Linked DNA regions of Drosophila melanogaster. The protein of the gene in region 2 purifies or fractionates together with the protein of the main gene of each other region. This does not show direct contact. Each region holds a gene or a part of one and is shown on either strand. Other genes may lie near its edges.

What was found. Proteins that work in one complex are often made in the same cells at the same time.
Region 1: the proteins of obst-A (region 2) and serp purify together in Drosophila melanogaster (affinity purification with western blotting, with the first as the bait; one study listed by BioGRID). This does not show direct contact.

What each region holds. Positions count from the first base shown.
Region 1 is NT_037436.4:19,700,958-19,710,673, reverse strand, and holds serp (serpentine), read left to right. Parts: upstream 1-2,658; 5' UTR 2,659-3,199; coding exon 3,200-3,254; intron 3,255-4,276; coding exon 4,277-4,449; intron 4,450-4,615; coding exon 4,616-4,865; intron 4,866-8,175; coding exon 8,176-9,323; 3' UTR 9,324-9,697; downstream 9,698-9,716.
Region 2 is NC_004354.4:20,237,103-20,244,933, forward strand, and holds obst-A (obstructor-A), read left to right. Parts: upstream 1-2,752; 5' UTR 2,753-2,875; coding exon 2,876-2,924; intron 2,925-3,959; coding exon 3,960-4,163; intron 4,164-4,508; coding exon 4,509-4,712; intron 4,713-4,782; coding exon 4,783-5,039; 3' UTR 5,040-6,107; downstream 6,108-7,831. Other genes in the region: Peritrophin-A (peritrophin A), read left to right, coding at 7,781-7,831.

The sequences.
Region 1 (9,716 bases), on a different chromosome or scaffold from region 2:
GCTAACTCGCCCCCACATCGTCGACCCACCGTATAGACTCACAAATTTTAGAACAAACTGGCCAAGGTATCAGAAGTATGTCTGTTCACACATAGAACTAACGACGGCATTATCTACAAAGGAGGATATAGACAAGTCAACGGAAACTCTTGAAAACATTTTAGTTTCGGCTGCAAAGGCTTCAACCCCGCCAGTGACGTATGCAAAACCAAACTACATCAAAACTAATCGCGAAATCGAGCGGCTGGTTTTAGATAAACGACGCCTACGAAGGGATTGGCAGTCTAATAGATCACCAATTACTAAGCACATGCTTAAGATAGCCACACGCAGGCTTACCAATGCTCTCAAACAAGAGGAAAAAAACAGCCAACGTTCATATATCGAGCAACTCTCTCCCACCAGCACTAAGTACCCTCTTTGGAGAGCTCACAGAAACCTAAAGACTCCAATAGCGCCAATTATGCCACTACGAAGTCCCTCTGGCACCTGGTTTCGAAGTGATGAAGAAAGAGCCAGTGCTTTCGCTGACCATTTACAAAATGTATTCCGACCAAACCCCTCTACCAACACATTTATTCTCCCTCCTTTAATAGCAGCCAATCTAGATCCTCAAGAACCCTTTGAATTCCGACCATGTGAACTAGCAAAGGTTATCAAAGAGCAACTGAACCCAAGAAAATCGCCTGGCTACGACCTAATAACTCCAAGAATGCTCATTGAACTCCCAAAGTGTGCTATTCTTCACATCTGCCTGTTGTTCAACGCAATCGCCAAGCTTGGATACTTCCCTCAAAAATGGAAAAAGTCGACCATAGTAATGATTCCAAAGCCAGGAAAAGATAAAACGCAGCCATCATCATATAGACCGATAAGCTTACTAACATGTCTTTCAAAGCTGTTTGAAAAAATGCTACTCCTTCGGATTAGCCCTCATCTTAGAATAAACAACACACTTCCAACACATCAATTTGGCTTTAGAGAAAAACATGGAACCATCGAACAGGTCAACCGAATCACGTCAGAAATTCGTACTGCTTTTGAACATCGAGAATACTGCACAGCCATTTTTCTAGACGTCGCGCAGGCATTTGACAGAGTGTGGCTCGATGGACTTTTGTTTAAAATAATCAAGCTGTTGCCCCAAAACACACATAAGCTACTGAAGTCATACCTATATAACAGAGTGTTTGCAATAAGATGCGATACAAGCACTTCACGCGATTGCGCAATCGAAGCTGGAGTGCCGCAAGGCAGTGTACTGGGTCCAATCTTATACACCCTGTATACGGCGGATTTCCCCATAGACTACAATCTAACAACCTCCACGTTCGCTGATGATACCGCGATACTCAGTCGCTCGAAATGCCCAATAAAAGCCACGGCACTCCTATCCCGACACTTAACATCTGTAGAACGATGGCTTGCCGACTGGAGAATTTCAATAAATGTTCAAAAATGCAAGCAGGTTACCTTTACCTTAAACAAACAAACATGCCCACCACTGGTCTTGAATAACATATGCATTCCACAAGCCGACGAGGTAACATATCTGGGAGTTCATCTGGACAGGCGGCTCACTTGGCGCAAACATATAGAAGCCAAATCGAAACATCTTAAACTTAAAGCAAGGAACCTCCACTGGCTCATAAATGCTCGCTCTCCACTTAGTCTGGAGTTCAAAGCTCTTCTATACAACTCCGTCTTAAAACCTATCTGGACTTACGGCTCCGAGCTGTGGGGCAACGCATCCAGAAGTAACATAGACATTATTCAGCGAGCACAGTCAAGAATTCTGAGAATTATCACTGGAGCGCCGTGGTACCTTCGGAACGAAAACATACACAGAGACCTAAAAATCAAATTAGTAATCGAAGTAATAGCTGAGAAAAAAACGAAGTATAACGAAAAGCTGACCACCCATACAAATCCCCTCGCAAGAAAACTAATCCGAGTATGCAGTCAAAGCCGGCTGCACCGCAACGACCTCCCAGCCCAGCAATAAACTTATTAGGGCATTAATGAAAAAAAAAAACTATCACTAAGTGAAAGTTAATTAAGTTAGATTAAGATTTGAACACTTATTGTTAGTCTCTTAACACAAAGGGAAGATTCAATAAATAATAAAAATTAAAAAAAAAAAAAAAAAAAAAGAAATTTGCACTTTACTCATCTTGAGCCAAGTAGAAAAGATTTGACACAACGTACAAGTATACAAATTCGTATCAATCATACGCACTGTGGACTATTATTTAACTAGTTACCCTAGTGAATTTAAATACCCGAAGTTTGGAAGATACCAAAACAAAAGTACGTGGATACGTGTATGTGGGATGATAAAAAATGCATTTTTGGCAAGTGTGTGTGTGTGTGTTTAGCTGTTTGGGCACGCCCAAGTGGATCGTTTGGCCTGACACACATCCGACACCCTGCCCAAAATGGCGAGGGCTAGTCCCTAGAGTTCGTTGCCAATCGAGAGACACCGCAGACGTTCTGGAATCCGCCATTACGGCCAGTGCATAGGTGCCATTTGCCAGGCACTCCAAACTTCGCACACTTGCAGTCCACAAGCACGGCGGCTACACTTCTCACCTCACCGCAGTTCGAAGTCGATAGCCGCCACCATTTTGCATATAAAAGAGTGATCGCGTACGTGCCGCACTTCTCTCGTCTTTTCAACCACGATCCGGTCACGATCGGACCCAGACTTGTGCAACACGAACACTCACAGAGCTATTCCGGCCCAAAAGCCAATTGGCCAGAAAGCCAGAAAGGCAGAAAAGCAGAAAGCCAAACAGCCAAAAAGCCGGGCTTGCCAGTGATCAGCGATCGGCGATCGGCAATCAGTGGCTCAAAGCTTTTGTGGATCGCATTGGGCACTACCCCAGCAGAGCTTTCCAAAACCCACCACAGGTGCTCGAAAGAGACGTCGCCGCCGCCGCCGTGTAATAAAAGAAGCAATTTTGACTTCGTCTGGGGCTTTGGTGTCAGAGAGGGGTTCGAGAAATTGTGCGCGGCATCGTAGCAAACAGTGTAAATGGAGCTTTGATAGCGATCGGAAGGACAAGACTAGAGCTCCAAGAAGTGTTTTTTTACCCAAAGTGTGTTTGCCAGGAAAAAAGAAACATCGATATAAGACTCTAAAAAAGTGTGCAGCTAATACCAGCGATCGATCCAATCCCAACAGGTCCACCTAAAGATGGCAAAACTGTTTGTGGTTTTTGCCGTTTTGGCTCTGGCGGCCTTTAACGAAGGTAAGGTCTCCAATGAAACGCACATATTTTATGCCTCGCCGTAGTCATAAGTTTTAATTATCGAACTGCAATTTGCATTTGGCTGGCGGAAGTTGTTGCCAAGACATCAATTAAAACTGCTCGACGGCCTTCACAGAGAAACGGAAACAAGAAGGCTGGCAATTGAAAAGCCGTTTTCGAGATGCAGATGTGAGTGGAGTGGCGTGGCGTGTCGTAACCTTGATTATGCGAAAAGGACTCGTCCGGCTGTGACTAGTTGGTAAACAACTTTCGTTTTCCGAAGGGACAAACGATTGTTTACCTTGAGTCGCGTAGAAACCCATTCAGCTTGACACTTGAGCTCTGTGAATGCAGTTCTCTGAAACTCAATACGAATCTCAATCCGAGACCACTTGACTTTGACAGGCCATCGATCATGATTAGAGTCGCAGCATAAACATCGCCGTGTTGCTGTCCGTCAATTAACGGTTATGCAAATGCGGCAACTCCCTCGACTTCAAAAAATTCAAATTTAAACTGAGATTCAAATCCGAATCCGATTGCGATTTGAAAAATGCGCGACAAGTCGGCTGTTGCCAAGCGTCGCGAGATGCAAAATGTCAAAGTTAGAGCGCAGGCGCAGCAGCGAGTTTCTAAATTCGCTTTTCAGATTTCGGTTTTTATTTTTGCACCGACATTTATTTGTGTTTCTGCGCTCGGTTCTCTGGTGACATCGTATTTCATAATGCCAAACGTGTTTTTTTTTTTCGGCCAACACACCAAGCAACCAACCAGCCCGACCGCATGCCATGTCTATTTAGCCCGGCCAAATCCACTCGTATCTGTATCTCTGCAGCTGTAGCTGTATCTGTGTTTTTGTAACAGGAAGTGCCAGGCCATGGCGACATGGAACCAACCCAACCCAATCCAAGCCAACTCAATCCACACCCAACCCACATTCGCCGTGGAAATTCTTCCGGTTTTGCAACTCCAACTGCAATTGCATCCATTTATATTTCCATTTCCCTCGTTTCGACTTGCAGCCAGTGCCAGCGATCCGCTCCTGCGATACAAGCGACAGGCCACCACCGAGGAGACCAAGAAGGAGGAGTCCTTCGAGAAGGAGCTGTGCAAGGACAAGGACGCCGGCGAGTGGTTCCGCCTGGTGGCCGGCGAGGGCGACAATTGCCGCGACGTCATCCAATGTACCTCATCGGTAAGTTACAAACTATCTATAGTTGTTTGTAAATATAATTGTAGATACATGGAATGAAAGCTTATTAACATCACTTTTCATGAGGGATTACCATGTCTATCAATACAATATATCTTCATAAAATATACTTAATATTATTACTTTGTATTTATTTATTTTTAAACAGGGCCTGCAAGCCATCCGTTGCCCTGCTGGTCTGTACTTCGATATCGAGAAGCAGACTTGCGACTGGAAGGAGTCGGTGAAGAACTGCAAGTCCAAGAACAAGGAGCGCCGCGTGAAGCCCCTGCTCCATACGGATGAGCCCCTGTGCCAGGACGGATTCCTCGCCTGCGGCGATGGAAACTGCATTGAGCGCGGACTCTTCTGCAACGGCGAGAAGGATTGCTCGGATGGATCCGATGAGAACACCTGTGGTGAGTACTTTGAATAAATATTTTGTTTTTAAGGATTGCCTTAGGTTTTTAATAGCTTTTGGCACACCTTAGTCGAAGCACTTAACAGAAGTAATAAAAAGTGTAATTAGTATGCATTAGCCATTTTATGCATGATTTATAAAAAAATCCAAAAACTTAAATTGCAATAATTAGACATTAGGCCAACTATGGCCAAGGACCAATAAAATGGAATTACCAAAAATAATTGCCTCAATATTGGGGATAATGCGGGCTCGCTCCACTTTTTTTTTGTGAGCACTTTTTCATTTAAGTTTGACATTTGACAACAATAATTCAGTGTGATTCAGCAGAAATTGAGGAGGGCGTCAATAGAAGTAAGCCGCCGCCAAGTGTTGTTTATAGGATTGGCTTTCCCAAAAGCCCGAGGTTGAGTGCTATTACTCCATCGGCTCAAATGATATATGTAAGCCTTCAAGTGGCTCGTGATATGGGTGCACACTTTGTCAGATAATATGCCAATAGCATAAATAATTGATCTTATGTTTCCTTTCTTGATACATCCAAATCCGAATCCGAATCCAATATCTTTCTCTGGTCGAAATTTCTTTAGTTACTCCAGTCGCACCTTAAAACCGGTTGACGGCATTTAGGCATTACCTCAGCGAAGGAGGAACACTTCAAACTCCACTCTCGAAAGCACTGACACAACGGCACACAAGTGTCTGAATTTCGTGTTTCTTTCGGTTTTTGGAATTTGGAAGGGGTTTGGGGATTCCAATGACGGCCACATGCAATGGAACCCCGTCTGCAGCACAGATCCCACGAACCGGTTTCGCAAAGCCCTTTAGCTCCATCGTATCTCGGAGCCAGCTGAACCGCCGCACTCAGCTCGACGGGATCAGCTCCGATCTCGAATGGACAGCGATCTTTGGGTGGAAATGTCAAGTGTGAAGTGGAAACGAAATGTCAGACACGGCTGGTGGCCAGCTGGCTAAAACAGAGGGGGTTGGGGGAATTAAGGCAGTCATGTATGGAAAACATTAAATCATTAATTAGCAACATCGTAATAGCGCTAACCTTGGACTTAATAGAAATCAAATCGAAGCAAAACAAAATGCCGCTCCATAGGTGGTTTCGATTCATGTGTAAATTAGCCTTACATAAGCGGCTTAAGAGCCACGGTTATTTTTAGCAATTGCAGAAAGCCGCAAAAGCCGAGCCAAAAGCGGGCGAAAAATAAACACACAGTCATAAGCACCAAATAATAATACACTATAATAACAAAAGTAACCAAAGATTGATACAGCAGACCGCGCAAAATCGCAACTAATTCATAAAAATACTAATAACATGCCCAAACAGTGAGTGCCATAAGTTTACGCTCACTTCGTTCTTCTTGCACGAACGACATTTCTCAAGTGGCTAACCTGGCATATAAAGGCTGCCTCAACAAGCCAATTAAGTGCCAAATAAATCTGGCTAACTAGCTTCTGCTTCTGCTAGATTCACCACCTGCGATTGCGATCCGTAATGTATATATCTATCTATCTATCTATAAAATGCGAAAATTTGCACTTCTGCCTGACTTTTGAAATGCCCAGCCGAGCAGAAAGCCATGCCCGCGATCGCAAACAATTGAATAACTCCAGTCCAAGTTTAGACCACTTCGCCTTTGGGCCCAATGAGGAAGCTCACGTCTCCGGGAGGCGAAGCAAATGGCAGGCGATTAAAAGAGCGATTAACTGGTCATACATCGTAGTTTTAAAAAGAGCGACAAAGTAACGAGGAAAGTGCTCCGAAAAAATGTTGCCAAATAGTGTAGTTTTACTTGGGCAATAGCCATAAAGCCTATAACTCCACCACATGTGTATTCTCTTCAAGAGAATCCCATGTTTTTAGCTAACTTCAGATTAAAAGTGCATATGAGAATTGGCAACAAATGAGAATGACTTGTGCAAAATGATAAACTAATATCAAATCGATTCGAAAAGAAGTGTTCCAAGAATTCAATCAACACTTTTGATTAATGAATAGATTCAGCTACACATTACCGATTCTCGGAAGTACGTTAAGATCCCACCGAATTTAGCCAAAAACAAAATTCCCCACAATTATTTCTCGGCCACAATTCATCCCAATCTTGGCAAGCTCCTCTTCGGCAATAATGAGCCAGCTCACATACATTCGGCAATCTCCGCGGCAATCTCTGCAAAAATAAATAAAATGAGCAAAAGCCAAAAGCCCTAAAAAGTCAATAATGCCGGTGGATCTGGTGAATACCGAGTGAATACCGAATGCTGAATGCTGAATGCTGCTGAACCGGTCCGGGATGACATAACAGCCGTCTTTAACGACAGATTATTGGCCAATATTGGCAGAAAGGAGGGGAATGAAAGCGGAGCCACGGCGCAAAAAGGTCAACAAAGAGACAAAGCCGGCAAAATGGAAAACACGCAAAAAAAAAAACGAGTGAAAAACTTGATGGACAAAATGCTTTGGCCTTTACATGCCGTGCCTGCCATTTCACTTTGGCCAATACCAATACCAATTCCAAATGCCAAATGAGACAGCGGCAACAATAATTGCGGCTAATATCTTTGGAAACTTTCGCAATTGATTCCGTTTGACGAGCCGGCAAGTGCAAGGCTTACCAATTGGTAATTGAGTGGACCATCATTTGCATTTGGCCCGATAATCGAGCGCCATATTTTCGGGATGGGTGTGGTGTGGCTAATAAGCGAACGCTATCTGCATTTCAAAGCGGCTTCGCTTGATTAACAACACTTGAAAATTGCTCAAAACAAAGCCAAGAAAAATCCCAATAATAATAATAATGAAAGAAACATATGCCGATGAAAAACTCGCATTGTGCAGACATTTTCCATTCACTTTGCGTTTCGGTTTTCCCACCTCTCTTGATTGCTTTTCCAGACCACTTCGGTTCATTGAACCAACCCCGTACCCCCTGCCCGCCAAGCTTTATCCCCTCACCGTTGGCTAATTGCTTAAATATTTATATGAAAAGTTAAGTGAACTTTTGCCGGCCAGGTGAATGCAGGCAGAATATCAATTGTTGATTGGTTATTTGATGGGAAAAGATGACAGGCTGTTTATTGTAATGAATTTGTATTTTACAGGGTATCGATTATCTCTAGTTATATCCCTACATATATCTCTTGCTTACTTATTTTAAGAATGTGCTTTACACACCCCATTTATATGCAAGACTTCTCCTTCAATTCACTTCAGTTTGAGGAATCTTTCGTAATGTACCTTATGATTTCCTCGTCCTAACCCCATAATTTGTACCATTTTGCCCCGCCCACAGATATCGACAACGATCCCAACCGTGCCCCGCCCTGCGATCCCGCCGTGTGCGTCCTGCCCGATTGCTTCTGCTCGGAGGATGGTACATCGATTCCCGGCGACCTGCCCGCCAAGGATGTGCCCATGATGATCACCATCACGTTCGACGACGCCATCAACAACAACAACATCGAGCTGTACAAGGAGATCTTCAAGGATCGCAAGAACCCCAACGGCTGCTCCATCAAGGCCACCTACTTCGTGTCGCACAAGTACACCAACTACTCGGCGGTGCAGGAGACGGCACGCAAAGGACACGAGATCGCAGTGCACTCGATCACGCACAACGACGAGGAGCGCTTCTGGTCGAACGCCACCGTGGACGACTGGGCCAAGGAGATGGCCGGCATGAGGATCATTACGGAGAAGTTCGCCAACATTACGGATAACTCGGTGGTGGGCGTGCGTGCTCCCTACCTGCGCGTGGGCGGCAACAACCAGTTCACCATGATGGAGGAGCAGGCCTTCCTGTACGACTCCACCATCACCGCTCCGCTGTCGAACCCGCCACTATGGCCCTACACCATGTACTTCCGGATGCCCCACCGCTGCCACGGCAACCTGCAGAGCTGCCCCACCCGATCCCACGCCGTGTGGGAGATGGTGATGAACGAGCTGGACCGTCGCGAGGATCCCGTCAACGATGAGTACCTGCCCGGCTGCGCCATGGTGGACTCCTGCTCGAACATCCTGACCGGTGACCAGTTCTACAACTTCCTGAACCACAACTTCGACCGTCACTACGACCAGAACCGCGCTCCCCTGGGTCTGTACTTCCACGCCGCCTGGCTGAAGAACAATCCCGAGTTCCTCGACGCCTTCCTCTACTGGATCGACGAGATCCTGGCCAACCACAACGACGTGTACTTCGTGACCATGACCCAGGTGATCCAGTGGATGCAGAATCCACGCACCATCAGCGAGGTCAAGAACTTTGAGCCCTGGAGGGAGAAGTGCGTGGTCGAGGGCAAGCCCGCCTGCTGGGTGCCCAACACCTGCAAGCTGACCTCCAAGGAGGTTCCCGGGGAGACCATCAACCTGCAGACCTGCGTCCGATGCCCCAACAACTACCCATGGGTCAGCGATCCCACTGGCGATGGTTTCTTCTAAGTCAGCGATCTTAGCCCCATGCCCCCCTTGAGCCCCGAGCTCTAACCCAAACTCTAACCCAAACTTAACCCATACCTATCACACACCAAACCCTAAGCCCTAGCCCAACACAAACTCGATCGATTATCGCCCATTTGAATTTGAATTGCAAGACTTTTACGAGTGCACTCGTACTCTCTATTTGACTGATTTCGAGGATCAAGTCTTTGCTGTGTTACGGTTATGTTAAATCAAAAATGAAATGAAATTCGACATGAAGACAAAACAAAAGATATTCAAAACTGCAAGCCACAACATCCGAACTTGTGTTTACACTCTTTTTTGTAGTTTTACGTTAATTTGTATGTGTATATTTAAATAAAAGAAAAAAAATGAAATAAACGAAAAAACCAC
Region 2 (7,831 bases):
TTCCCATAGTGACTCAAAACTACTGAGCTTACAAAATACGTTCAGGGTTCTGAAAGTATGTACATACATACGTATGTACATATGTATGTAGATATGTCGTGTTTTAATTGCCCCTCCAAAGTGCCAATTACATTCAATGCGCGTCTTTGGGCCAGTGAAATCACCAGAACCCGCCGTGGAAATAGAAAGCGCACTTAGGCGATGTGTCTTTCCACAATGTATGCCATAATTTGTGCCACCAATGCCAGATGTTGCTGCAACGCGGGGCGCAAAGCGAATCCAACAGTAGTACGTGCCTTCGGTCGTATCTGAATGTATCCGAAAGTATCTGAAAGTATCTGAAAGATACCGTATCCAAAGTGCCAAGGAAGAGGTTTTCATGGGGTTAAAGCGCCCATGAAACTTTTGGGGATTTTATTTCGATTCGATTTGGCGCATCTGCACATCTGCACATCTGAATTTAAATGCCAGCATTCGACGACCCAAAAACTGTAGTCCGAGTTGCTCGTTTCGTAACCGCATTGATAAACCGGACTCGAACTGGAATCGCTCCGATGATCCCCCATGCTGCAGTAAAAACCTTGAATTGCCAAATCTTCGACTGCTCAACTTTTTGCTCCAGGCCGACAAATCTTGCACATGGGCGGGAGTTGGCAAACCGATGAGCGGATACTTAATATCTTCGCTTTTTCCCCGCGCTAATTGCCAGGCCAAACCTGTCGCACCGAAGTCGAGATGCCAGCGCGATTAGTTTACAAATTAATTTGCCAATTGAATTTCAGATTTAGACGTCTGGCCGGGCTTCCAAGAACCACCTCCACCTGGTTTCCACATGGGATCGGGCGAGAGTAAAAGTGTATTGTTAATTAGCCACTACACGCCGCCAACCTAAACTAGTTTCCCAGCCCGTCTGGTTTGGCCGCATCTCCGATCTCCGATAGCTGATTATATTTTCATTATTTTTTATTTCTTTCCTACTCCGATCGGAGCGGATCGATCGCATCTCCCAAGGACAGCGGCTTTTGGGTCATTGCGTGGCCGCTTAGCATATTTATGCATATATTATGTACATATATTACCGGCATGCTCCGCCGCTTGGCCGCTGGAAGCATCGGGATGACACAGTTTTCCATCCCATGGGCGTAGCTCCTCGGAAATGGCTACACCAAACCAACCCCCCCCCCTCCCCTCCCCCACCAATCACCTGTAGACCAGTTCCCAAGCAGGCAAAACTAGAAATTCTATATTGTATCAGGCATTTCATTGGATTCCTATGGATCACCATGTTTCTAATAGATATACAACATTCAATTTGTAAGATACATTTATTACATTAGTACTTGCTCTTGTTAATTTCATCATATTTTAATATTTCTAAATGATAGTTTATAAAAATGTGCTCTTATTTCAATTATACATATATAATGTATATTATCTTACCTTATTTTACCAAAAGTAATAATGCTAAATTTTTGATTTGCGGGAGTGGCGTTTAAGACATTACCTTCCAACTAATTGGGTGTGTTACTCATTACCAAGTCTTTCATCCGTCCGTCTGCATATATGCAATGTATATATAGTATAATTTAAAGATACAGATCCAGACCGAAACTACGCCCATGGCGTGTCCTCTTCAGCCTTGAAGTCTCAATTTTTGGCTGGCACTTTGGACGAAAGGACGGTCTTCCAACTCCAACTCGTCGCCAAATGGATGGTACCTGTTTGGCTGGCCTTTTGGTCGATCGATGTAAGCCATTTGCATGCGGACCATCAACCCGGCCAACTCAATTCGAGCCAACTGAATTCGGGGATCGTTGACGCATATGAATTTATTTACGTTCATTTTCGTGTGTGTGTGTGTGTTGCTTTTTTGGTCACATCGACACACTGATCGCAGGGAACGCATACCCTACTCGAACCGCATCCATCGGTCGCTCGATCGCATTTGGTTATTTGACGGTCAATACCCGGAAATGTGCAGCTGACCAGATGGCTTACAAGCTGGAATTTTGTATTTTTGCACAGGGTCAACTATTTATTACTCTATATGCCTAAGAACCACCCATTTTTAGCATATAATTTTATTTTTAAGCGAAACAATTGAATTGAAACGCTAATGGAAATCAATTTAACATCTTCTCTACCTGCATAAATGACCGCTAGATGGCTCTGCAGATCAAGATCACTAAAGAATTTGCGGCATTAAAACTGTAATTATACGATAAATAACATTGTTTTTCTTTTTTTTTAATAGCCTTTGAGTATTCTTAAGAGTTCGCTTACAAATACATAGAAGCATTTCCTAATTCTTCCAAGATTTCGATGTAATCTCCAAGTCATCTGATACAGGTGACGCCTTCAACACAGTTGATCAATGCGCGGCCTGAAGAATTCGCGTGGTGCACATTAAGCTAGGGCATCTGGCCAGCGGTTTTCCGGTCCTCGCCCCTGGACTTTCTTGTTTTTGTGCCATTACATCTCTGGCTCGCCTTTCTTCGTCGCCTTTGGAGCCCCGGCTCCATTCCATTCCCATATCCAGTCCAGCTCCAGCCGCAGCTCGTTTGGCCTGGCTCGGTTTCGTGTGGTAGTAGTAGTAGTAGTGGTGGTGGTGGTGGTGGTGATGGTAGTGGCAGTGGCAGTGGCGGGGGCGGTAGTGGCCCCGCCCATTGGCATCACTCTGCCGCAGCCGACGGCGTCGTCGCGTCGTCGGCGACGTCGAGCAGAGCCGGTAAAAAGTCTTGAAAAGTGCGCCTCTTTGGCGTTCCGTTGTTAGTTTAGTTTAACCATCGCAGCGCTTGAGTCGCGATTAGTTGCTCAAGTATCCAGTTGCCAGGATCGTTGCTCTGCTTTTTTTTTCTCAGACCCCGAGTCCAAAATGAAGTTATTTTTATGTGCCATTGCTGTGACCCTGTGTGTGGCGACAAGTGAGTGTGAATCAATGGATCCGTGGGAATGGATCAATGGATCGTTCAATGGATCAGTGGTGCCCAGTTCAAGTGACTGACGACTGACTGGCCAGTGCCAGCCCATCCGCCAAGTCAGAGTCGCAAATTGTTGCTAATTACTTTGACACTGACACCGAAATCAAGACTCGATCTCGATCTGCTGCCGCTGTGTGTTTTGGCCAGCTAAGTAGCTAAGTAGCTAAGAGCTAAGAGCCATAAGTAGCTAATCATATTTAGCCGTCTCGCAAGACTGGGCCTCAGACGCAAATGTTGAATCTGGTCGCGATTGCGGATCTACAGGCCACATGCAGATCGAGATGGAGGGCCGTTTTCCGTCTGGAAAAACTGGAATGCTGGCCAAGCCCAAGATGCTGTCTGGCTGTCTGGGCCGCTGGGGTTATGCAACTCATGCAGTTTGTTGGCCAAGTGGAAAACGGCTCTTCTGGGCCGCAAGAGAAGTGCATTGAACCCGGACCGAACGTCGTAATCTTGGCATTATGCTGAGTATGAAGCCTTCTCTGACATTTAAATTTCGACATTTCGAATCACTTACCGGTGTGTTACGGAAATCCAAAGAATTCGCGTAGTTTGAATTCCCAATTTCGGTTGTAGAAGATATTGTCAGCATAGCGAATGCAAAGGTGTATAGAAGTATGCAGTGATTTTCGCATTGTATACATTTTTTATAGCTATCCTTTAGGCGCCCAAGTAAGAGATTTCACATTGGTTGAGTAAATAGTACTAACCTATATCTAGCTTACCGAAGTCAGTGGGATTCTGGTCAAATGTATCAAGCGATAGCAACCTGTTCCAATGGAAAACCACTGATCATTTCTTGGGCCACCGGGAGTGGTGGCAACCAGGAAACCGCAAATGCGGAATTGCCATCGGTAATCGAACGTCGTTCGATCTGTTACACTTTCGAGTGCGACTGGGGGTCGCCAGGAAAGTGAAAGTGGGAAAACCAGTTGACTGAAGTGCTTGTTTCTTTCCTTTGTTTTACCCCAACACCAGCCGTGTCCGCCGCCAACTTCGAGTGCCCGAAGCCCAATGGCCAGTTCGCCGATGAGGTGCAGTGCGACAAGTTCTACGTCTGCGACGACGGAGTGGCCAAGGCGAAGCTCTGTCCCGATGGCCTGGTCTTCGATCCACTCAACCGCAAGTTCAACAAGTGCGACCAGCCCTTCAATGTGGACTGCGAGGACCGCACTGAGCTCCGTAAGTAGCCCATCCCATCACCATTTCTATTTCTAGGCTATTGTTACCGACCCCTTGGGAATGGTCACGAAAACTATGTCAAGGCAGAGCGCTAAACAGGTTATTCCAATTACATCATTACATCACCATTAACTATGTAGGGAGTTAAATTTAAATTCGCCTCTTAAGTTCAAATTTAGCTTACTAATGAAAGCATCAGTTGAAAGGATGAATTTGTAGCATACTTTTGGACATCTCTATATTTAAAGCAAATACACCACTACAATGAGCTATCCAAAAGTTATGTAGTTGTGTAGCTCCTTTGGTAGACGGAGGAACTAACCCTGTTCGGTTTCCCCTTCACAGAGGAGCCGAAGTCCAGCAAGTACTGCCCGCGCAAGAACGGCTTCTTCGCGCATCCCGATCCCGCCGTGTGCAACATCTTCTACAACTGCATCGAAGGCGACGCCCTGGAGACCAAGTGCACCGTCGGCCTCCACTTCGACGAGTACTCGGGCACCTGCGTGTGGCCGGATACCGCTAAGCGCGAGGGCTGCAATCCGGAGCAGAGTAAGTGGACCGATTGAGTCGCCGTGCGGCGGAGTGGGCTAATGGTCTGGCATGTGGTGTGTACTTTCAGGAACCTCCGAGACCGGCTTCGTGTGCCCCAAGGATCAGCCAAAGACCGACGATCGCGGCCAGGTGGTGACCCACCCCAAGTATCCGCATCCCACCGACTGCCAGAAGTTCTACGTGTGCCTGAACGGCGAGGATCCCAGGGATCTGGGCTGCCAGCTGGGCGAGGTCTACAACGATGCCACCGAGATGTGCGATGCTCCCGAGAATGTGCCCGGCTGCGAGGACTGGTACAAGGATGTGGACGACAAGAAGGACTAAGCCACTTCCGGTCGCTTCTACTTCTCCTCATCACATCCACACTCACAACTCATGCACATGCACACGCACACACAAGCACACTGAAAGAAATTATCAATCAAATCAAATCGAAACAATTCGAAACAAATCAACACACAGATTCGCGTCTTAGTCACTTAAATTTAGTAGTTCTAGCCCATTTCCTATAGAGCGTATGTGTAGCAGTTAAACTTCAATACTCTGACCTATCTATTTCTTAACTATCTTTCTCTATATCTGACTACTTCTAACTACTTTTCTAACTACCCAAATCTCCATTTCTGTGCCCAACCAAACGCTGCCAAATTGTTGTGTATATATTTCCCGCTTTCAGACTTTCGCCTTATTATTATACAAAAAGAATAAACTGAATTTTTTATAAACTATCTATATCTATCTATCTACTATAAACTATCTTCCCAATCCCAAGACTACTACTATTCCATATACTGTTTCAGCTATCCTATGTGATCTTCGCCTAAAATTTCAATTTCCCTCATCTCTACGTTACTCTACTTAACTTCTTATCATATTCCAAAACCAATTTTCTGTCTATAAGGAAACCCACTCTTTACAAACTTTTGTCCTCCTAAAATTTTCAAACTTGAATCTTTTCCGTTCTCTTTTCTTGATTTCTTTCTTTCTATCTTTAAAATTTCAATTTAGTTCGTGTTTTATTGTTTTGCGAACTGTTACGCTACAGTTTATTATTCCTAAAATGCTCCTTTTTTAAGCATTTCAATCCTGTAATCTTGTATTTCACTTCTACCTCAAGTTTCAAATCTAAATCTTTTCTATACATTCTATCTTCCTCATAAATATTTCCTTGTATTTCGATTATACCTACTGTATAAATACTCTTTTAGACTATGCTATATGTTATTTATTAATAAACATCTTGACTTGCCTGCAAAATCCAAACGATAAGAAATTTTCACGTACCTTATTTAAGTAATCATTCAACCGACTGTAAACCCATGACACCCAAACTCACTTCCCATTCTCCGATCTTTCTCGAATTAAAAAAAACTATGTATTTCGAATCTATACAAAACTAGTGTGCATCTCGTGGGGAAATAGCAAAAAAAGGGAGGGGGGGGGGGGGGGGTTGAGTGGTCGATTGACCAATCAATCAAACCTTTCACTCCACACGCAATATCGGATAATCGCCGTGGACGGGCGGGATCGGTGCATCCATTATCCATCATAGCCCTTTGTCCCTCCATCGGTTGCAAAGAGTCTTTAATTGGCCGAGTGGCCAAGCGGACCGCACATTTACACATGTAAATGAACACAAAAAGCAGGCAAGAGTGCTTATGCAATCGCCGCAGCACGAGCAAAGCAAAGCAAAAGCAAAAGTTTTGCAATAGTTAACAATGTAACGGCAATCGGCAAACGGGGCCCAATCATGAATGAAGCTTATGGTCTGCGCGAGCTTTGCCTTTTACTTTCAATCACACATGTTGCCAGAGAAGCTCGATTTCCGCCTTGGCGTGTTTTTCTTTTTCAAGCCAGGAAATGGACCCGAACTAGCTAGGAAACTAGCTAAATCATTGGCAGTGTGGAGCGAAAGCGACCTTGTGCACAGCGTGGATGCTGGATGCATCCTTTTAGATAGCGTTCTAAGTTTTATCTGATTTTATGCAGTGTTTCCACTGTTTGTGGATAACCTAAATTTCAGCTGAATTCGCCATAGCTCGACAATCTTGCAACTGGGAATCAGTAGAAGCTAAAGTACATTTCGCTGTACTATAGAAGTTTATTCTTCATTTCGCTGTACTATAGAAGTTTATTCTTCATTGCATACAACATTATAAGAGATGTAGAAGCACTAGAGATTTCTGCAATGGGATGCGATTGATATGAAACTTTGTATTCCGAATACCACCGAACTGTAAGTCCTCAGATCGAAAATAAATCCCATAAATTCCGTCTGTTATAGGCTCTCAAGTTGGGAAGATGTGGCGAGAAAATGGATTCGAGCGATATAACATTTGGTATATGGTTTGGTATCAAACATATATTCCCAAATTGCGGCTGTTATGTGCAATTAAGAGCGTAAGATGTGGCTGGAATCTGGATGGATTGGCAGCACTGGCAATCCCAAATCCCGTTTTGCATTAAACACCAGCCAGCAACAATGCAACAATGCAACAATGCAACAACAATGCCAGCTGTGACAACACACAGCACCACCCACCGCCCACCTTTGCCGCCCCCAAAAAAAAAATCAAAGGCAAAGCGGTATCGAAAAAAAAAACGAAAAAAGCGAAGTTTTGCAAAACTGTGGTGTCGTTTGTGTGGTTTTTTGTTTTTGATTCGGTTTGGTTTCAGTTATGTTCGGTTTTTCGACCACGTTTCTACTGTATTTTGCCTTTTTTTTGTTTTTTTGTTTTTTTTTTGGCTCTTTGGCTTTGCTGGCGAGTCAACGCTGCGCAGTCGCAGCTCGGCCGCTTCTTCTTCTTCTTCTTGGAGCGCGGTACAAATCTTTTCAGTTGAGTTTGGAACGCGTAACCGTTAAAACGTACAATCTTGGAGCGGAAGTTTCAAGTTTCTCCATTCCACTTTTTGCGCGCATTTGAATATATATATATTTTTTTTACGGTGCGTGTGTGTGCCTTGCTTGTGCTTTTTCACTACTTAATACCACCCATGCATTTCCGCCTAATTCATAAATAATTTGTTTATATCGCATATGTGTTTTTATATGTCAGGCACCAAACATGCAGCGATTCCAAGTGTGCAGCGTCCTGATCCTGGCCTGGATTGCCTGT